Rhinolophus ferrumequinum: one gene and its partner. The protein of the gene in region 2 binds, or shares a complex with, the protein of the main gene of each other region. Links are inferred from orthologs where the notes say so. Each region holds a gene or a part of one and is shown on either strand. Other genes may lie near its edges.

The links. The genes of interacting proteins can lie anywhere in the genome.
Region 1: KAT6A (region 2) and BRD1 share a complex: the UniProt entries of both Homo sapiens proteins name them as parts of the MOZ/MORF complex. The link is inferred for Rhinolophus ferrumequinum from reciprocal best matches to the Homo sapiens genes KAT6A and BRD1.

The regions. Positions count from the first base shown.
Region 1 is NC_046293.1:785,068-796,107, reverse strand, and holds the start of BRD1 (bromodomain-containing protein 1), read right to left. Parts: upstream 4,829-11,040; 5' UTR 4,735-4,828; intron 1,967-4,734; 5' UTR 1,953-1,966; coding exon 586-1,952; intron 1-585. UniProt on the Homo sapiens protein: Scaffold subunit of various histone acetyltransferase (HAT) complexes, such as the MOZ/MORF and HBO1 complexes, that acts as a regulator of hematopoiesis.
Region 2 is NC_046287.1:58,403,055-58,413,377, reverse strand, and holds the start of KAT6A (histone acetyltransferase KAT6A), read right to left. Parts: upstream 4,304-10,323; 5' UTR 4,182-4,303; intron 2,009-4,181; exon of another isoform or gene 1,921-2,008; intron 1,612-1,920; 5' UTR 1,298-1,611; coding exon 698-1,297; intron 1-697. UniProt on the Homo sapiens protein: Histone acetyltransferase that acetylates lysine residues in histone H3 and histone H4 (in vitro). Component of the MOZ/MORF complex which has a histone H3 acetyltransferase activity. May act as a transcriptional coactivator for RUNX1 and RUNX2.

The sequences.
Region 1 (11,040 bases), on a different chromosome or scaffold from region 2:
GCACAGAAGCAGACACAGCAGGAGGGGAGGCGGGCCTGCCCACAGCAGGGGCAGCAGAGCCAGGACCCCACCCTTCTAGGTCGGAGAGCCCCACACTGACGAGGCAACGTCTGCACTACGAACGACAACGGTCAGAAAAACCAGCAAGACTGTCACACGACAGGAAGGCAGCCAGCGCCCCCCGCACGCGGCTCCCGTGGGCCCCACCCTGATCTCCACCTGTGTCTTCTTACTCGGCCAAGCTGCTTCACTTTCCAACAAAACGTGTTAAAATCCTACAAGGTTCCCAAACTTTGGTGAGGGAGCAGGAGGAGGAAGGGCGCTTCGTGTCAAAGGCGGCCCCAGACCCACGGTCACCCCGACACTGTCTGGTCTACCCCGGGCACCGGTGTGGCCCCTAGTGAAACCATACATCCTTCCAGGTCTGACAGAGTCGAGTCCTAGCGACATCCACGCTCCCACAAAGTGAATGAACGAGGCCAGGTTTCAGGGGACCGCGTGGTTGCGGTACCACCGCCCTACCAGGCACCTCCCTGACATCCCCACTCGAGGCTGCCCCTGGTCCCCACACCTGCACACACTTACCTCTGAGGGGGAATATACGGAGCACACACGGGTGGCAGGGCTGCACAAGGCTCGCTCAGCGTCTTCTTAGCCTTTTTGGCTTTCTTCCTGACCTTGGACGTGGATCTGACCGTTTTGACCGAGCTCTCTTTTCGACACACGCCGTTTTTCATCTCAACATCCCCGTAAATGTTCAGAGGCCGCCGGGTACAGCCCGGGGGCGTGTGCACATCACAGTAAGCGGTCTTTCTGACGGAGAAAGTGGTGGCACCGCCAGCCAGTTCCTTCACGGGCTCCATCTTCATGTAGAGGCCGGCCTTCTGGGCGCACGTGACGTGGAAGGCCGTGTAGCAGTTCGCCTTGTGGCACTGAATGCAGGCACCCACGCCCTTCTGCTTGCAGAGGTAGCACGTCAGTCTCCAGCGGGCGGGGGGGATGTTCCGCACGCCATCGATGGGCTCAATGAACACCGTGTTGGCGAAGCCCACCTCTGGGATCCACAGGGCACACACCACGTGGCCCCAGCGGTCGTCGTCGGTCTTTTTGAAGGCACCGCCCTTGTTGGGGCACAGCACACAGTCGGCAGGCCGCGCGCGGGACTGCAGGCAGTGGCGGCACAGCCACTGGCCCTCGGGGATGTAGGGCACCCCGTAGCACTCCTGGTGCACAGCCAGGTTGCACATGTCGCAGAAGAGGATGGCGTTGCTGTTCTGGCACTCGCCGTCCATGCAGATGCAGCACACGGCGTCCTCGTCGATCAGCGACTGCTGCTCGCCCTGCTTCTGCGTCTCACAGTGCGACTCCTTCTCAAAGCGGTCCATGAGGAGCTCGAACACGGCCTGCGACACGGCGGGCACGCACTCGGCCCGGCGCCTCTCGTTGACCAGCTCCAGCCACGCGTAATCCTCCTCGTCCATGTCGTACTCCACCTCGCCGTCCAGCTCCTCCGCCGACTTCTCCACGAACTTGTAGTAGGCGGGCGGCCGGCGGGGGGCGGCCGGGGGGCTGTACTCCAGCACACGCACCCTGGGCTCGGGGAGCACGCTGGCGGAGGCTGGGGCGCCGTGGGCGCTGGGGGCGGCCTCGCTCTTCTTCCTGACACGGTTGTTCTTGTGGCGCTTCGCCCTCAGGCACACGGGCGGCCGCTCACTGTTCTCCTTGTTGCTGTTGCACTCGCTCATCTCCTGGGCAGTGAGGTCGTCCTCCAGGATGACCTCCAGGGGGTCGAAGATGCTGATCCTGTGCAGGCGCCCCTCGATCTCGATCTCCACCATCCTCTGCGCCTGCGCGTACGTCAGGCTCTCGCGTGCCGGGGACTGCTTAGTGCTGCGCGGGGAGGACGGGAGCCTTGCTGCAGCGCCTCGATGGCATCGTCCTTTCCTCCTCATTTGGTACTGACTCCCTAGACACAGGCAGAAGGCACGTTAACTGGACAGGACAAGCACACACACGAAGTCCAATCCCCCAGCTGACCTGGCTCGGAGGCTCCGGAACCATCCATCCCGACCCCAACAGGGACTCCCAGGACCAGAGGGGAGGACAGGCCGTGAGCAGTGGCCCTCGAAAGGCATGTGCAGTGACAAGTCCCTCCGACACCGATTCCCACTGCTTGCCAGCTACCTTCCTAGACCAAGCCAACAGATCACCAAGATGACTGCCACATCCCTCCGGACCAAGGGTCCCAGGCCTGAACCCAGGGCTAGACTCCAGCAGGCAGAGAGGTTGTGACAGTGACGCAAGCGTGCTCAGAGGCTCTCCGCTCCCAACCCATGTTCCCAGGACATCCTCTCCCCAACAGTGCTGCCAGCCCTGGAGCCAGGGCACTGGTTCTGGCAGCACTGTGCAGAGGGGCCAGAGGCCTCAGTGGCCTGACCACAGCCTGCCTGCCCCTTCCCCTTGGGCACTTCTGAGCTGTTGGCTAGACTGCAGGGCCAGGCCAGGCCCTCCTCCTCCTCAAGCACACCCACACACATTCAACGTGCCACGCTTTACGGCGAGGGCCACCCCGAGGCCCCGCACTGCCTGCAGAACCACCCCGGGACCCCTGCAGAGCCGCCTTGAGGCTCCACCCTGCCCACAGAACCACCACCATCGTTCTGCCAGCACAGGCTCAGGTGCCTGAAACCTTGGCCAGAGATTGACAATTTGCTCTTTTCAGATCTCCGCCGTCGGGCTGTCACTATTTTCAAGTAAGGCTCCAACTGTGGACCACCACCAACCAAACAGGTGTCACCTTAGGAACTGACAAGGACCTGTCACAGACCTCTCAGACTCCTCCCACCAAACATCTTACTGACAGGAAGCAAAGGGATTTTTCAGAGACTGGCTTATAAACAAACATGCCGAGTTGGAGTCCAAGGCCCGCTGCTTCACGTGGCCCACCAGGCGGGGTGGGGAGCCCAGCCTCGGGCGCCCACAGGAGCCTGAATGACAGCCCCTTGCCCACCTGGCTGGTCTGTGCAAAAGCCTTAGCGAGCAGGCTTCACTCTACACCCCGAAAGGAAATCCCAGCGGACCCTGATGCACTGTTTAAGACTGACTCGTCAGACTGCGGCTTTCTTGGGTCAAATGGAAACGGTTTAAAATGTGATGAATTCCTTGCCAAGAGGAACATGGCAAACCCTGGGTCAGCCAAATCCCAGTTCAGAGTTCCTGGGGAGCAGTCAGTGAAGCCACCAGCCAGCTGGCAATAGCCTACAATCCCTCCTGAGGGGAGCTGGGTGTGTCCCCCAGGTGTCAGCACAGAGGTGACCCTAATGCACTCAGGACAGCTTCGCGTGTCCTTACTGGAGGGAGAAGCCACACGTGGTTATTCACATTCACAGCAAACGTGAAATTTTCTGCCCTGCAGCCACGTACCCAGGAGCTGCAAGTACATCCAGCCCTTCAAGACCCACACTGTCTCAATGGGCACTAAGTGACCACCTGCCACAGAAACAGCCTCACACTTAATCGTCACAGCAGCTCTGCAATTTGAAAGTGTACTTGTGACAGGGAAAGCGGGCATTTAGCAGCAGTGCCAGGCACAGAGTGACCCACCGCCTCATCATTCCCCGATACCCTCGAGCGCTCTCTGTGGCTCTCTGGCTCCAGACACCCTGGGCACTTTTGTACAGGGACAAGCATTTCCACAGGAGGGAATCGGCAAGGATGATCAGCAAGCATCTCCGGGAACAATTCTGTTAAGTACATACTGAAGAGGGTTAGCCGTCACAGTAATGACCGGCCACAGTAATGACCAGCTCTCGCTGTCCACGCAGCACATTTCCTGCCTGGTCTGGACATGTCACTTAATCCTCCGAGCCTCGCCCCCTGCACTACCTAAATGTGAGCGGAGCCAGAACACACCTCGCCGGCTGCGTGCAGCCTGGGTGAACACAAGCTGCTCACAGCCGTGCCCGGCAGAGCAGGTGCCAGGCCACGTAAGTAAATACACCCTAACTCTATAAACGCTGCTTTCCGCGATGACCGGGGCAGAAGTGTGTGGGGTGACGGGACGTCGTCGACGGGGTGGTGGCTTCCTGGGCGTGTAGACGCTCTCCAGAATCCCTGGGCGCTAACCGGAGCTGCACTTTCTGTAAACTGTGCCTCGAGAAAGATACTTCTTCAAAAAAAAAGGCCCAGGACAGCCGGGGCACAAGTCCATCTCAGCGTGTTTACTGCCAACACTGCCCGGAAGCGGGAGGGACGCCTCCCTGCGCTGCCGGCCGCCGGCCGCCCGCCGCCCTGGGCCCCCCGACTCCCGGGTCCCGTAGGAAGCCTTTAGAGGCGGCCCTACGACAGGCCTCCCGTCCCGACAAAACCCACGAGCGTATCTGTTACATAATGCGACCCGCGGGGCGACGGGGCCGCCCGCCCTGCCGGCCGGGTTACGGCCCGGCTCTCGCGCCGGTACCGCCCCGCCGCGCCCGCGGCGCTCACCCCTCCGCCGCCCGAGCCCGGGACGGCCCGCAGGCGGGCCGAGGGCGACCTGGGCGCCGACCCCACGGCCTCCGGGCCCCGACTCCGCGGCCCCGACTCCCCGGCCTCCCTCCGGCCCCCGCCCGCCCGCCTCCCGCTCGCCCGCGGACAATGCGCCGCCGCGGCCTCAAACATGGCGGCGGCGCAGCACCGGGGCCGGCGGCCCTCGCGGCGGCGGCGGCGTCCCCGGCCCGGCCCCCGCCCACTCACCTTCGGGGCCGCGGGAGCCCGGCGGGCGGGCGCTGGGGCCGGCGCGGCCGAGGCGGCGCTAATGGCGCCCGCGGCTCCTCCGCCAACGGCCGCGCAGGCCCGGCCGCCGCCGCTCGGGGCGCGGGCTCCTGTCGGCGGGCGGCCCTGCGGACGGCGGGCGGGGCCGGGAGGCCGGCGCGGGGCCCGGCCGGCGGCGGGGCGCGGGGCGCGGGCGCGGGCGCGGGCGCGGGGCTGCTCGGACGCCCGGGCCGGCTGCTCGCTCGCTCCCCAGCGAAGCAAACAATGCGGCGAGCGCTCCGCCCGGCGCGCTGCGTGCGAGACGCGCCCCGCCCGCCGCCGCCGTGACGCGAGGCCGGGGGCGGGGCCGGGAGCGGGGCCGGGGGCCGGGACGCAGCTGGGCGGAGGGACGCGCGCGGGAAGCGGACCTGGGGGCTGGGCGTGGGGGCCAGACCGGAAGTGGAGGGACGCTGGACGGGCTCCCGCGGAGAAAGGGAGCCCCCGACGGTGGGGTGCAGGAGAACGGGGGGGGGGGCGGGCGGAAGGGGGTGCTGGGAGGGGACGGAGAAGCAGCGGGGAGACTGGAGGGGCGTCTGCTGGGGTGCGGGTTAGGCGGGGCACGGGCAGCCCGGCCTGAGGGGCTCGCCCCAGCTCGGCCCTCCTTTAGGCGTTTTAAGCCAAGTGGGCGGGTAATTAGGATTTTGAACACCCTCCCCGGCATCCTGGTGAAACAGAGGGCGACCTGAGCTTCCTCTCCCACTGGCTGCTTCCACTTTGGCCTTTGTGGAAACTTAAAATTCGGGGGTTTTGTGACAGTTTTCATCCGGAGATTAAATCCCAAAATGTCTTGAGGGGACAGAGAGGCCCAGATGTCTCCTTGGTTTCCTTGGAGGGTTTGTTAGTGCGGTGGCCATGAGGGAGCCCCTGGCGGTGGGCAGCCCAGCCCCAGGGAAAGGAGCAGGCAGGTGGCCCCCAGCCTGGGGCATCAAGACAGGCTCGTCAGGAAGAGAATGGACAGCTGCCCAGGCAAGAGGCTGGGTCCTTCTGAGCCGGTCAGGTCTTCCCCTACATGGACAGGCAGGGCACAGTCCACTGCTTAGGATCCCCCACCGAACGCCTTACTGGGAGTGGGCTGCCCCCTGCACCCAAATGTCCTTGGGGGAGATGGAGCCCCATGGGCCTTTTGGTGACCAGTACTTGTACCCCACTGCATCCAATGTACGGCTTCGAGAGTGAGGTAGGACTGCAACCAAGGTCACCCAGTGGTCAACCCTGAACAAAGTCCCACCTTGAAGCTGGTGGCCCCTCCAGACACTTCCTTGGGCCAAGGTGGGGCTGGCTGGGCACTGGGGCCCTGACCACATCCACACCAGACCCAGAAGCTGCAGGTGTCTCCCCGCTCTTCAGATGTCTGCTTGTCCGAATCCAAACATGCCAGGGCAGCTAGTAGCTGAGAGCAAGCAAGTGGGGCCTGCACCCTTCTCTCCTCCACCATGGGCAAGCCAGATGCAAATCAACAAGCTGGAGGGGCTCACCACACACAGCAAAAGTAAGAAACAGTCTGGTGAAAGAGAAGATGAAAGATAACAAAACCCTTCTCCACAAGACAGACAAAAGAAGGACTTCTCAGACAATGGAAGTAAGTGATGTCCAGGAGAAGTTAAAAAAGACCTACAAGCGTGTCAGTAGCTCAAAACAACAATCACTCCTTTTGCTCACAGACCTACTATGTGGAATACAAGGATAAAGAGACTAGCTCAAAAACCTTCAGAGAGAAAGGATATTCTTCAATCAGACTGAACTTGATATGGCCATTGTTTTGAAAGGAGGGAGAAGCTGAGATGGTTCCTTGGCAAAGAATGAATTGACTAAATTCTAAGAGAATTGAACTTGGAATTCCATACACGATGAAACAAGCATTCAATGAAACAGCAGAATAAAGGTGTCCACAGCCTGTAAACATCCAAGTTTACGACACATGGTCTCTTAAATATTACTGAAAGATACACCCTAGCAAATGAAAAGTGAATCTGAGAGTAAGACATGGATGCCAGCAAAGAAACCAGTTTGGACTGTTAAAAGAAAATCAAATACCAACTTGGGAGAAAGTCCCAGATGAACTGAATAGAGCATCCAGCAAGAGGAGAGGGGAGCAGGAAGTGAAAGTTCACTGAAGTTCTTGTGTTGTTAGAGGAGTTTAGAATGGATAGAAAAAGGTTTAAAATGTTAAAATAGCCAAGTTTCCACTAGAAAAATGGAAATAGGATCTACAGATTCTAAGACAGATGGGGGAAAACTGAAATGAAGAAAAATTGAGAGTGCCAACCAAAGGCAGAAAAGAGGAAAAGATGAGTACACAATAAATAAGGACCATAATATGAGATGACGGGAATGAATTCAAATGTTTGAGTAACTGGAGACATGATTGAATTAAAGTCATCTATCAAAAGACTGAGACTCTCAACTGGAATACAAATGCCATTAAATAGTGTTTACAAGAAATACACCTAAAAATGTCACAGAGGATTGAAAATAAATGGAAAGTATGTATCATCCAACTCTTGCTACTCAAAGTAGCAAAAGAGAAGGAAGAACAAAAAACTAAAAGAAGGTATTTGCAACAGGTGTTCCTTGCAAATGATTCATATCCAGAATATATAAAGAATGCTTTCCAATCCATTAGAAAAAGACGAGCGAATAGAATGATGGGCAAAACCCATAATCAGGCTCCTTACAGAGAAGAATGTGGAAAGGGCCAATGACCTCAGTAGTAATTCTGGAAATGCAAACTGAATCCACACCAAGTGAGCACAGGTGTTCAAACATGACAGTACCCTGTGATGGTAAGAAGGTGGATTGACGGAAACATGGTCGCAATATCAGGTGGTGCAATTATCTTGGTGAATAATACGGCATTACCCAATGAAGCTAGACATATGTGTCAGTTATCACTGCATAGCAAACCAGCCTGAAAACTTTGTAGCTCAAAACAACACTCATGCCCTTTGCTCATGGATCTGCTTTGTGGGCAGGATTCACCGCTGGTCCACTCCGTGCTCACCAGCTGGGGCATCTCCACTAGGCGCTGGAGGGGCAATGTCCAAGATGGTGCACACATATGGCTGGTAGGCTGGTTCCAGCTATAGGCTGAGGGCCGAGGGACTGTGGCAAGGTTCTAAGAACAAGAGTCCAAGAGAAATGGAGGGGCCTGTGTCACTTTTTATATTGTCACCTCAGAAATCACAGAGCACCATTTCTGCACAAGCCTGTCCTGATTCAAGACATGGGGGGATGCTGAGCCGTACTTCCTGTGGAGAAAAGTGTCAGAGTCTCATTTTAAGAGGCGCACAAGTGTGGGAGAAGTTTCTATGGCCAGTTTGGGAATGTGCCAGCTGCCATAATATGCACACCCATTCCCAGCTGCAGGGCTAAGCAGGTATGGGCTCCTGGGTACATTACACACCTAGATTGGGCCTGAGAGGTCTGGACTTGCTCATCAGAAGACGTGCGTCCATGTTCAAAGCAGCACTGTTTTGAACACCAAAAATGCTGGCAAAAACCGTCCATGTCCGTGGACGAGACCATAAATAAAGTGGGTGTGTCTGTATGCTGGAATAGTGCACGTGGCTACAATGAATGAACTGCAGCACTTGGAGCTACGTGCAGAATCTCAGACAATAATGCTGAATGGGAGAGACAGTTGACAGGAGACTGCAAAGTGTGATTCCATTTACACTTGCAGAGAGCGATAAGAAAGGTGTGTCAGCTTGCACACACACCTCTATCTTCTTCGATATCTATTAACAAAACTTGAGTTCATGCTGGGGGCTCGTTGCAATCCAGCAGGGTTCATCCTACGCTCCCCCTTCTAGATGACTGTCAACAGTCACCCAGTGGCTCAGTCCGCTGTGTGTGGAGAGATTTGGCCCCAGACACATCGACCGCTGCCCCCACTTACAGGCACCAACCAAAAGCTCAGTTTTGGGGACTCCACACTCCCAACCCAGCCCCACACCACTGGACCTGCCGCTGAAAGCTTGGGCCCAGAAAAGGCGGGTTAAGGGCACGGGTGTGATTGTATAATGTGTTATTTTCTGGCAGAAGTAAGATCAAATCCTTTATTCTTAACCCACTTCTAACCTTGCATTTGGTGGGCTGTTTTCACCAACCAGTGACACATTCTTTAGATGGTGTTTTCTCACTTCAGAACTCAGGAAAAGTAGTTTTTACTGACTCTTCAGTTTTAGTAGGAATCTAGTTTGCATAGTTTCAGTAGAAATCAATCCTCCTTTTTACCAGGATATCATTAGACAAGTTAATTGTGCAACCAAGGCCTTACCTTGGTGTCACATTTGAGAATATGTGTCGTGGTTCCGTAGGACCCACCCAGCTTAGGAGGAAGGGTTGTATGTGGTGAGCCAATGCCCATGCAGCCCTCAGACCCACACTAGTCAGTCCCTGTACTGTGGGGCGCCAGGTCTGCGGCTTACGAGTGGTAGGAACACGGGCTCTGTGGCAGACACCAAAGTCCTCAAAAAGACAGGGATGTACCTGCATGCACAGGTACGGCAGGCCAAGCTGCAGGCGACTGGCTTGGTTTCGTAACCTGGGAAGAGCAGAGAAGACGAGAAATTAAAATCTTAGGCATAGAAGAGGCCGGGTCCTATATTCTTACGATGTCATCACCAGACAGAGGTTGAATTTCCGGTCTTGGTCGTTGGGTAACGCCACGTAGTGTAGATGTACTGGCCCAGCCCGGAGGCTCATACATGTCAATTAAGCATTTTTTACAGCGCCTGTGTGGGTGAATCAGGTCCAGATGCAGCAAGACTAGCATTCTGTGGTCAACAATAACCTCTGGAGATTATCACCATGGGAAAGGGCCTAATAAAAATTTTCCAAAACTTATGAAAAAGTAGGATGGTGGTGGGTCCTTTGGGTGGGAGGCTGAGTGTTGTCTAGCAGGCCTGCCAAGAGTGTTACCTGATTCTTGTGGGTGAGGTGTTTAACTCGGTATTTACTATTGATTATGATTTTTTATCTCGGGAGGACAGACTTGTAGAAAACGATGGCTGAGTAAAATGATTCTTGTCTGACAGCAGTGCAAATGAATTTTGCTCAGTTAGTAAATGATAGAAGTTATTTCTGTCCAATGGAGAAGATGCCAGTTTTACAGCCCCTGTAGAATGTTAGCCTGTTTTTCATCTAATTTACAAGCTTACCCAAGCAAGCTTTTCTTTAGCCACTACACATACTTCCTTCTCTGCCCAAGCTTTTGAACCAGCCTCACCATCATGCTGGTTTCCTCATGAATGATTTAAAGAAATCTTTGACACGTTCTTACTTGAGAGCTGTAGAGTCATATTTTTAACTTTTTGAAAATTATGCTCCGATAGCTCCTCGACTTCGCTGCCTCCCCGGCATCCCCTCTGGGACATCTAACAGGCACGTCACACTCAGCGTGTGGACACTGAGAGCCCTCGGCCCCAAACTTCTCTCTCAACTTCTCCATTTGTTATGGATTGAATTGTGTCCCCCAAAATATATGTGGATGTCCTCACTGCCGGAGCCTGTGCACGTGACGTCACTTTCCAAATACAGTCTCTATAGATGGTCAAGCTGAGATGAAGTCGTTGGAGTGGCCCTAAGCCCACGGTTGTGTCCTTGTAAGAAGAGGGGAATTTGGGCAGACACAGGGAGCAGGACAGATGACAACAGAGACTGGAGTGATGCCGCCGCAAGCGCAGGATGGCCAAGGGCGGCAGCCCCCAGGAAGGACACTGCCCTCCAGGACTCCAGGGCCCAGACGCGCAACCCCCAGGACGGTGTGACAAAAAAATTCTGTTGTTTTAAACACCCAGTTTGTGGTACTTTGTTGTGGCAGCTACACCTTCTCAGTAAATGGTAACTCCATGCTTCCTGAGTGAGAGGCAGTGCCTTGCTGCTCACACCTGATCCATCAGCAAATCCTGTTGGTTCCCCCTTCACAATGTGCGCAGAACCAGCCCTGTGTTCCCACCTCCTCTGTTACCTCCCGAAGGCCAATCAGCACCCTCTCACCTGTATCATCTCAGTATCCTGACTGGTATTGCTGCTTCACCTTTACTCCTCTATACGTTTTCTCTACACAGCAGCTCAAGTGATCCTGCTACTCTCGTGCTTAGAGCCTTCCAGTTCCTCCTACCTCTCCCAGTCCTCAACTCAACAACCAAAACAGACAACCAGATTAGAAAATAGGTACAGGATGCGAAAGATGTTTCTCCAAAGAAGTTAGCCGAGTGGCCAATAAGCACATGACTAGATGCTCAG
Region 2 (10,323 bases):
CATACTTTCAAGTGCACAAAGTAACAGCATAAAACACAGCACAGTAATGTATATCATACGTGCATCAAAATTCCCAGCTCCCCAGAACTTTACTAATATAGGGTACAGTATTCCTGACCCATGTAGTTACACCTGTCATAAGCAATAATATTTAGGACTTTGTCATATAGAAAGAATAACACATGACAGAAAGCTAGAATACAAACAGTAGATATAAGAATTGCTAAATTTGCTTAACTACTACTATGGGTCACAAGAATTGGTCTCATTCCTGTGTAATGATAAACTGCAACAAAATGGGAAGAAGAAAGAAGAAAGGTTCTTAGAGTCACTTGTTTGTTTCAAATTCAAGTCTCCAGCATTTGGCTGTTCATCAGCTTCCCGCAGTAAGATACAAGAACTTTTATGCAACAGTTTTAAAGTTGTATGCTACTTTTTAATTCTAATCTAAACATGTTCTTTTTGGTTGATCGATACTCTACACTTTGAATCTCAACTATTTCAAAATATCAGAACAATTAGCATCTACTGAGTTCTCACACCTAGAACTCACCAGTGAAAAACCAGAGGTGATCATCATTCCACAAGTCTCCAAACACAAAACTTGTGTTAACTTCTATATAACTTCCTAGAAACGTGACTTTGTAGCATGCTACATCATCAGCTCTATGAACACTGATGCATATACCATTCTCACCTTATCCTTTTCATGTGGAAGGAGTGACACTGGAGGTAAAGAGGAAAGAGACTCACAACTCTCTTTCCCATCCACATTGGTTGCTTTAGTGTTGAGCCGATAAAGAGGTCCATCTTTAAGGAGTCTGCCATGGCCAATGGCACGTTTAATAGCCAATCGTAACTGCTGGTGAAAGCCAGAGGCAGCACTGCCTCCAAATAATGCAGACACATCCTTCTGACCTTTCAAAAAACGTTCAATGCTTTTCAAAGTTGAGCCACCAGACTCTGCCAAGCCATCAACTGCCCGTTTGATCAGTTTATTCCAATCTACATTTTGTTTATTATCCAATTTTCCATGGTTTCGAGGTTTAGGAAGTGCTATTCGCCCAGGATTATCAGGATCTTTATAGGAATTGAGACCCTTATTTGAAACTTTTAAAATTGTTCCATCTTTAACACTCAACTCCAATTGTTCTAAAACAGTTTTACGATCCAAGCCATGGGATGAAGACACTGCATTGCATATCCTTTCTTCTGAAGGACGCTGTTTCTGCTTCTTCACTTTTTTTATGGCCTCCAAAATCCATTCCGTATACAGCGGATTAGCGAGTTTTACCATGGTGAAGGATTCGTATATCCATAGAGTCGTTATCCCTTATCCTGATGCTGAGTAAGTTTTACACCATGGAAAACAACATTCTCGGAGGCTGAGAACCAGTTAACCATAGCATACAAGTTTTCTGGCCTAAGTCCTTCCTCCTTTCATAAAATAGATGCCTCCCCACTTTACTTTAGAAACCGCAACTACCAGTTATTTGAAATGTCTTCAAACTTCCCAATAAATTTCTCAATAGCACCACATGTGGGTCTCTTCATAAAGTTGTAAAAACTCAGGAACATGTCACTCCCAGCAGAAGAATGTTTATCTTATGCCTGAAAAACAATGAAAACAAAGTCAGTTTTCTATCAAGTCCCACTTGTAAATAAGCTATAACTGAAACATCCTAGTCTTTAAAAGCAATCAAATAGCAAGTGTTTATTGAGCACCTGTAGGAATTTTAACATGTTTCTATCAACATTCCAAAACAATCATGTATGTAAACCACTGGGATAAATAAGAAAAGAAATGAAATGAGTAATTAGAATACAATGAGGAAACAAAATGAGATGCACTGTGAATAACCTTAGACTACAATTAACCAGAGGGTGCTGGCTATTCTGTGTGCCATAATCTCTGCTCACCAGTCTATGAACTGAAACTCTTCCTTGACATCTTTCCCCAAGAAACTATTCAGCACTTCAACAAGTATCTGGATTAGTAGAAAGAATCCTGTAATGAAAGTAAAAGTGAATCTTTCATCTTTAAAATTCCAGACATTCAGACTGGATAAAACAGTCAGTAGAATAGGCAGAAAACAATTAAGAAAATTTTAACTATTTCATACATTAGAAAAACAACAAATACAATTTACACACACAGATCAAGTTCATACTTTAAGTGCAATATATACTTTAAACATTCCAAATGGAAACAAAAATAATATGAAAAGTAGTCAAGTGGGAAAAGTGCTTAAGGAATTTTTAAATAATCCAATTTCATTCAAATTTCAAGAATTACATGCTGATAGCATCTCCTAAGCCAAACTAAAGTACTTGGAGGGAGTAACAACTGTCAAAATGTTCATAACCAATCTACAGAGAGAGAAACTAGAAATGAGAAAGGCCCAGAATCATTATGTTCAAATGCACAGACTACATATCAAACGTATGGTACAGAAAAAAATTTATTCCCTGTTTGCCAGTCTACAAAGATCTCATAAAGATTCAAGACTGCTGTCCTGAAATGAACATTAACGAATGAAACACAAACATAAATATACTGCCTCTCCAGGATCAAAGTCAATATTCTTCTTTCAGACAAAAGAACCTGGCATATACAAATCTTTTTAAAAATCACCAAAATAATGAATTTTCACAATCTAAACAACTCCTCTGCTTTCAAAACTAAATTTAATTTTACTTTTGTGTTTTTTAGAACCTCTGTTCTTAATCTGAGGAACATTTACATTACAACATAAACAAAAGAAAAAAAAAAAAAAATGGCTCCCACAGCAATTATTCTTACAAGTATCATTAAAATCCAAAGGAAAACTAACAGGTATTAGGAAAGGGATAGTACTATTAACTCGGATAGGAAAAAAAAGGCTGAAGTAAACACTCAAATCTGAGCCAAGATTTATTTTTAATCTGACTAAAAAGAAGCCCCCTGAGAGCTATGCTTCATTTTGGTGAGAGTCTCGAGAGAATAGAAATCATACTATTATTACTCCACGAAAGTTCATTATGTAGATATTAACGCTAAACTAAATAAGAAGCTACAACCTGAGTTTAAGAAGTTGGAAACGTAATTGATTAAGCTCGCAGGTAAAAGAATGAATGACAGTTATTCATTGTCTCTCCGGCCGGGATTTTCACTAGTGTCCAGGTCTTACCAAAGTAAAGGGCCTGCAGACTTGAACTTTACACCAGCGTCTAAAGAGAAAGCACAACTTGCTTCCGACAGTTCTTCCCCGGCCTCCATTCCCCACCCACAAACACATCTTCGCGCTCTCTTTTTAAAGAGCGAGAAACTTTAAAAACTTGGAACAGCACAACCCTGAAGCTTGCCAACGGGTGGCTTCGCCATTCCCATTAGATGGAAACAGAACCCGAGGACTAAGTTAACAATGAAATCACGTGAAAGAGTTAAGAGCAATGTATCACCCGTTCCCAGCTCCTCCAAATCCTCAGCTCCACAGAGGCGGGTTCCAAGGAGGGTTTAGGGCATGCAGGCTACCCGAAGAGCCTGACAGGTCCGGCAGCTCCTGTCCAAACCGGCCGACGATTGACAAGCAGCCCGCCGCCTCCCCTCCCAGCGTCCGGGCTGACAGCCCGACAGACACAACACCACACGTGCTGCCTCCTCCGCACCACAACACCCGCCAGCCTGTCACCCCCATTTGCCGCCTCAGCCCCTCTCGGATCTCCGCACACCCGGCCGCAACCGAAGAGGGAGCGCCCCGGAGCGCGGGCAGGAGGGGCCGGGCGGGCCTGGGCGGCGAGCGCCGGGCGCAGGTGGGGCCGGGGAGGTGGGCGCGCCCCCGAGGGAGAGCGGGCTTGCCGGCACGGCACAGCCCAGCCCGAGGCTCTGCGGCCTGGGCCGCTCGCCGCTTGCCCACCCGCCGACTTCCCCGGCTGGGCCCGGCCCGCCGGCGGGCGGCGGGGACCTTGGGCCGGAGGCGCGCGGACCACGGGGCGGGGAAAGCCGGGCGCCGGCCGGGCGCGAGGGGGCGGCCGTGGCGCCCCAGCCCGAGGCCTGGCGCAGAGCAGCGGGAGGCGGCGCAGGCCGCGACGGGGCCTGCAGCCTCCTGCCGACCCCGCGAGGCGGCGGAGCGGGCCCCAGAGCGACTCAGCCTCGGGTTCGACGGCTGGGGGCGGCCGAGGGTGGCCTCTCGGCTACTTACCGGGGAGGAAGAGAGCCGGGATACCAGGACCCCGGGCCGGACCGCGGAGATGCCCCAAACTGACACGGCCGCCATCTTGGAGACAGTGAGCTCCGGCCGGGGGGAGGGGAGGCGAGGCGGCGGAACAGCCGCGGGGGGAGGGGAAGCGTCGCGAAGGAACGGCTGCCTGGAGGAGGGAGCGGCAACAGCCCGGGAGGGAGGCGAGGGGGGAGGAGGGAGAGAGAGTGCGGGAGGGGGGCGGCAGAGGAGCGGGAAGAGCTGGGCCGAGAGCCGGGAAAGGCCGGAGGGCGGGGCGGGTAAGGAGGGAAGAGCGGGCCGGGCGGGTCACGTGGGGCCGGTACAAAAGGCCAAAGCCAAAGCGGGAGGAGGACCTGATGGGGCTGGAGGCCAAAAACTGGGGGCTCTTTCTAGCCTTTCACACACGGTCAGGTCGGGCAGATACCAGTGAGAGGAGGAGATGATGTATCCCCATTACACAGCTGGGGAAACTGAGAGCAGACGCATGGGTGGGGTGGCTTCAGTGTGGCACGGAAATCCGGTGGCCAGACGGGCTCTGAACTCTTGATGGCGTTTGTGTTTACAGTTAGCAGATCCTCCCTCCCCACTTATGTGCCCTCAGCCCACTTCCACGGTGACTCTCCCGGAACCTGAGGTCGGGAGCTTGTGTGGTGGGGAGGGGGCGAAGGGCAGAGAGGAAGTTGCCTCCCTTCATCGTTCCCCTTCTGCTCACTTTACTCACCCCACACATCTCACTCCTACTGTAGGAAAAAGAGGAGGTGTGTTGAGAAGGGAGAAAGGGTAGAAACTTAGACACTCGTGTCAAGCTCTTTGTCAAGTCACCACAATGATTTCACCCTCCCCACAAATGAGACTTGTTGGACCTTACTAGAGACGTTTTCATAGAAAACAGCATAGACGAGGGTCGTAAGATTTACACAAGGTCACGGAGCTATTTTGTGGCACGCATCTGAGTTTGGAGCCTAGATCTGCCTTACTCCAACGCCTGTCTTCTCGTGCCCTATGCAGAATTGCTCTTGTCCGAATTTATGGCTGAACCACGAACTGGCACTTTTTTCATAGCATGTCTGTCCTCTACTGGTTTCTTTGTCTTGTCTCTCGAGATTGAATCATACCCTTTTTAAATTTTATTTACTACATTCATTGGAAAGGCAGTAAATGACAAATGAAAAGACATACTAAATCGTTAATAATTTTGTGTGGAAGTATTTTCCTGCTACTAGACCTTTATCTGCTTTGTGCATCCTGCGTAGACTACCCTGTTTCCCGGAAAATAAGACCTAGCGGGACCATCAGCTCTAATGCCTCTTTTGGAGCAAAAATTAATACCAGACCCGGTCTTATATTATGTTGTATTATATAAGAGCCGGTCTTATAGTAAAATAAGACTGGGATATTATATTATATTACATTATATTATATTGACCAGGTCTTATAGTAAAATAAGACCGAGTCTTACATTGATTTTTACTCCAAAAGACACATTAGAGCTGATTGTCCCGCTAGGTCTTATTTTCCAGGAAACACGATATTTTCTCTAACATCTCATTTTACCCCAGCTTTACCTTTTAAAGACCACCCTCCCACTCACTCCCTTAACTTCCATGCTTACTTCCTTTTCTGAACTTTTGTAGTACTGACCATTTGCCCTATTCGTTTGACAGGATGTGTGGCCTTTGTAACATTGTATGTTCTTCTAGAATGCCTCTTTGCATCTCCATTACTGTGTTACAAGTAGTACAGACTCAAAACGTTGCTAGTGAATGAAAATTTTTAAGCCACTGAGAAAAAGACGGAATTTCCACCTCCAGCTCAAACCTGGTGTATTCCTCAACCTATACTTTCTTATCTCTTAGCTTTTCTCTGCTCTAATCCTTAGACTGTCTAGACCACTCAATAACAACATAAAAACATATTTTCAGATGATGGTCCAGCCAACTCAATATCCTAGTACTGACACTGAGAACATAAATGTGGTGTGGTGTGATGAGATTTACTTCATCACCCTCCGTCACCTACTTCCAAGCCCCATTGCCAAATTAGGAGAGAAATTTGGAGGTACAAGTTAATCTATTAGAAAGGATATTTTTCATCCTAGATGAATCAGACAGATGCGTTCTCAGGTAAAATGAGAGCTCTTTGTGAAATGGAAATACATACAGGAAAGAAAAGGTGGAGGGAGATTCTCTTTTAAAAGAATAAAGAAAGGTTTTTATTTCCCAAAGAGAACAGATAAAGTCATGTTAATAGAAAGAAAATGAGTTCTTCGCGTGAGACTAGTGTGTGGTCTTCAGAAGAAAAATAACATTTACAGAGATGAACTGTGTTTGCCTTTGGATAATTTGGAAGAAAACTAGCTACAGCCATTCCTGTGAGAAGACCAAACTAGAGTACAGTAGCAAGAATTTAAAACAATTTGCAACAACAAAGAACAGTTTAGCTTTTCAAACAGCTTCCATAGAGAGTCTTTGCTTTACATTTGCATAACTTGAGGGCACATTCAGGAGGTCTTCTCAAAAGATCTGCAACAAAGACAGATTAAAGTCCTCGTCTTTCAAATGTTAAAAAAAATCCACAGCACTGAACAGACAGTTTTTCTTGCTTCAAACTTGACTCAGAATTCAGCCCTGCAGGGTTGCCAGCTATGTTATTTCCCTCATCCACATTTTGCACTAGGAATCCCTGCCTTTTCACTTGTAGTAGGTAGTTACATTTTTATGCTGACTCTAGCTAAGCCTAAAATTGGAAGTTTGCTCTATACTTATTTCAACAGGAAACGCTTTTAGTCCATTTACATTTAATATAATTACTGCTGTATTTGGATTTCTACCTGCCATCTTGCTATTTATTTTCTTTTGTTCACTTACTTTACATCCCTTATTCTCTTTTTTGCCTTCTTTTGAATTAATTAAAATATTTTAATTATACCATTAACCTCTATTAGCTTATTAGTTATACATTCTTTTAGAAATCTTAGTAATTACAGCCTGCCTATTTGACTTATTACACTCTAACATAAATAATTACTTATACCACTTTCCCAATAATGCTAAGACCTTAGAATACTATGTCTCCACCACCCTTCCACTTTTGTGGTTTTTATTGTCACAGATTTTAATTGTGCATATACAGAGGGTGCCAAAAAAATGTATACACATTTTAAGAAAGGAAAACTGTATTAAAATTGTAATACTCAATATATACCGATAACAAAAGATGAATACAAGTCACGTTTGTCTTCTGCAATTACAAGAGGTGCTCAAAGTGGTTACCATCAGCATCCAGACACTTCTGATGACGGCGAATTACTACTTGAGCAATGTTGACCAAAGTGTCCACTTGTATACATTTATTTGGCACCCCTGGTATTTTAAGCCATACAACATTTTATAATTATGTGTTTTCTACAGTCAATATTCATTATATTCACCTACATATTTATTTACCCTTTATGTTACTCCTTGTTCCAATATACATTTTGGTGCTTCTGACTGGAATTTTTTCCTTCTTTCTCAATAATTCCTCTGTTCATACTGTAGTAGGTCTGCTGGTGACAAGTTCTCTCCATTTTTGTTTGCCTAAAAACTTCATTTTATCTTTCATATTTTTGCTGAGTATAGATAGCATTCTAGTTTGGCAAATTTTCTTTTCAGCACTTTAAAGATGTCCTTTTATTGTCTTCTGGTTTCCATCATTCCATTGTTATTCCTTTGGAAACTAATATCTTTTTTCCTCTGGCTCCTTTTAACATTTTTTTTCTTTAGTTTTCCACAAATAATCTGTGATATGTCTAGATGTGATTTTCTTTGTATTCATCCCACTTGGGTTCATGAGTGGCATGTGCCACTCGTGAAGTCCTTTGAATTTGTAGCTTGGTATCTTTTATCTGTTTTCGAAAATTCTTGGTCTTATCTCTTTTTTCCTTTTAAGACTTCGGTGACACATATGTCAGAATTTTTCATTGTTTACCATCTGTATTTACTACCATTTTTTTGACATCTTTCTTTATGCATGAGTCTGTGAATTTTCTATCCATCTACCTAAATCTTCTCTTAAATCTATTTATTGAATTCTTAATATTGGTCATTGTATTTTTAAGTTCTAGAAATTTCATATGATTTTTTAAAAATAAAATCCAATTCATTTGGAGCAATTCTCCATCTTTTTATTTTCTCCACCTTTGCCTATACTTTCTTGAACGTATAAGTCTAGCTATTTTAAATCTCTTCCTGATCATTACAATAGCTAGATCTTCTGTGGATTTTTTTCTATGTATATTCTTTCCACTGACTTTTGGTCAATTTAGCAAATTGAGTCTGACATTATATATAGTGGATAATATATTATGGCCAGCTGGGTTTAATCCCCGGGATGCAAGGCTGATTTACCATTTGAAAAACCAGTCGATATAATTCACATTAGCAAACTAAAACAGAAAAAATTCATATGATCAATTCAGCAGATACAGAAAAAGTATTTGACAAAATCCAACAAATATTCCTGATAAAAATCTCTCAGCAAACTATGAACCTTCTCATAGTGATAAAAGGGCATTTGTGAAAAATCTACAATTACCATGATACTTAATTAAAGACCAATTAAACCATTAAAGACCAATTAAAGACCAATACTTTCCCTTTAAGACATGATCGAGACAAAGGTGTTGGCTGTCACCACTTCTATTCAACACTGCTCTAGATTCGAGACAGATCAATAAGTCAGGAAAATAAAAAGGCATTCCAAATTGGAAATAAATAAATAAAGATCTTTTCTCATAGATGACATGATTTTCTAGCTAGGAAATCCTACAGAGTCTACAAACAGCTACTAGAATTAATGTTTATCATTGTTGCAGCATATAAGATCAATATACAAAAATCAAGTGTAAAACAATCTGACTTTAAAAATGGGCAAAGGACTTGAATTGACATTTTGCCAAAAAAGATGTATGAATTGCCAATAAACCCATGAAAGATGCTCAACATCACTAATCGTTAGGGAAATGCAAAATCAAAATCGCAGGTACCACCTCACACGCATTAGGATGTCTACTATAAATTAAAAAAACAAAAAAGCAGAAGATAACAAGTGTAGATGAGGATGTGAAGAAATTGGAACCCTTGTGCATTGTCGGTGGGAATGTAAATTGGTGCAACCACTGTGGAAAACAATATGGTGGTGCCTCAAAAAATTAGAAATAAAACTATATGATTCCGCAATCCTACTTCTGAGCATGTATCCTAAAGAATTAAAAGCAGGTTCTTAAAGATAGTTGGCACGTCCTTATTCATAGCAACAATATTCACAAGAGGCAATATTCACAAGAGCCATTAATGGATGAACGGATAAATAAAATGTGATATATATATATATATATATGTATATATGTATACATATATATATATATATATATAATGTTAATGGAATATGACTCACTCTTAAAAAGGAAGGAAATTCTGACATGTGCTACAACATGGATGAACCCTGAGAACATATGAACTAAGTAAAATAAGCCAGTCACAAAAAGATTTTAAAAAATGTATGATACCACTTATATGAGGTAACTAAAGTAGTGAATTCATAGAGATAGAAAGTAGAATGGTGGTTGCCAAGGGCTGGGGGGGAAAGTAACTGGGGAGTTATTGTTTAATGATTTCAGAGTTTCAGTCTTGCAGGATCAAAAGAGTCTGGAGGTGGATGGTGATGGTTGCACCACAGTGTGAATGTACTTAACACCACTAAACTACACATTTACAAATGGCCAAGACAGTAAATTTTATATTATGTGTATTTTACCACAATTTTTTAAAAGCGTATTTCAATATACCAGCAACAACTGAGATGAAAATGGAAAAAGCAATATATTTTACAATAGCATCAAAAACATAAAATACTTAGGGGTAAATCTGACAAAGATGTACAAGATATGTTCATTGAATGCTGCAAAATGTTGCTGAGAGAAATTAAAGAAGACCTAAGAAAATGGGAAGATATACCTTGTTTTGGGATTGAAAAATGCAATATTGTTAAGATGTCAATTATTCCCAAATTGAGTTATAAATTCAATGCAATAGCAATCATAATCCCAGCAAGATTCATTTGTAGAAACTTGAGAAGCAGATTC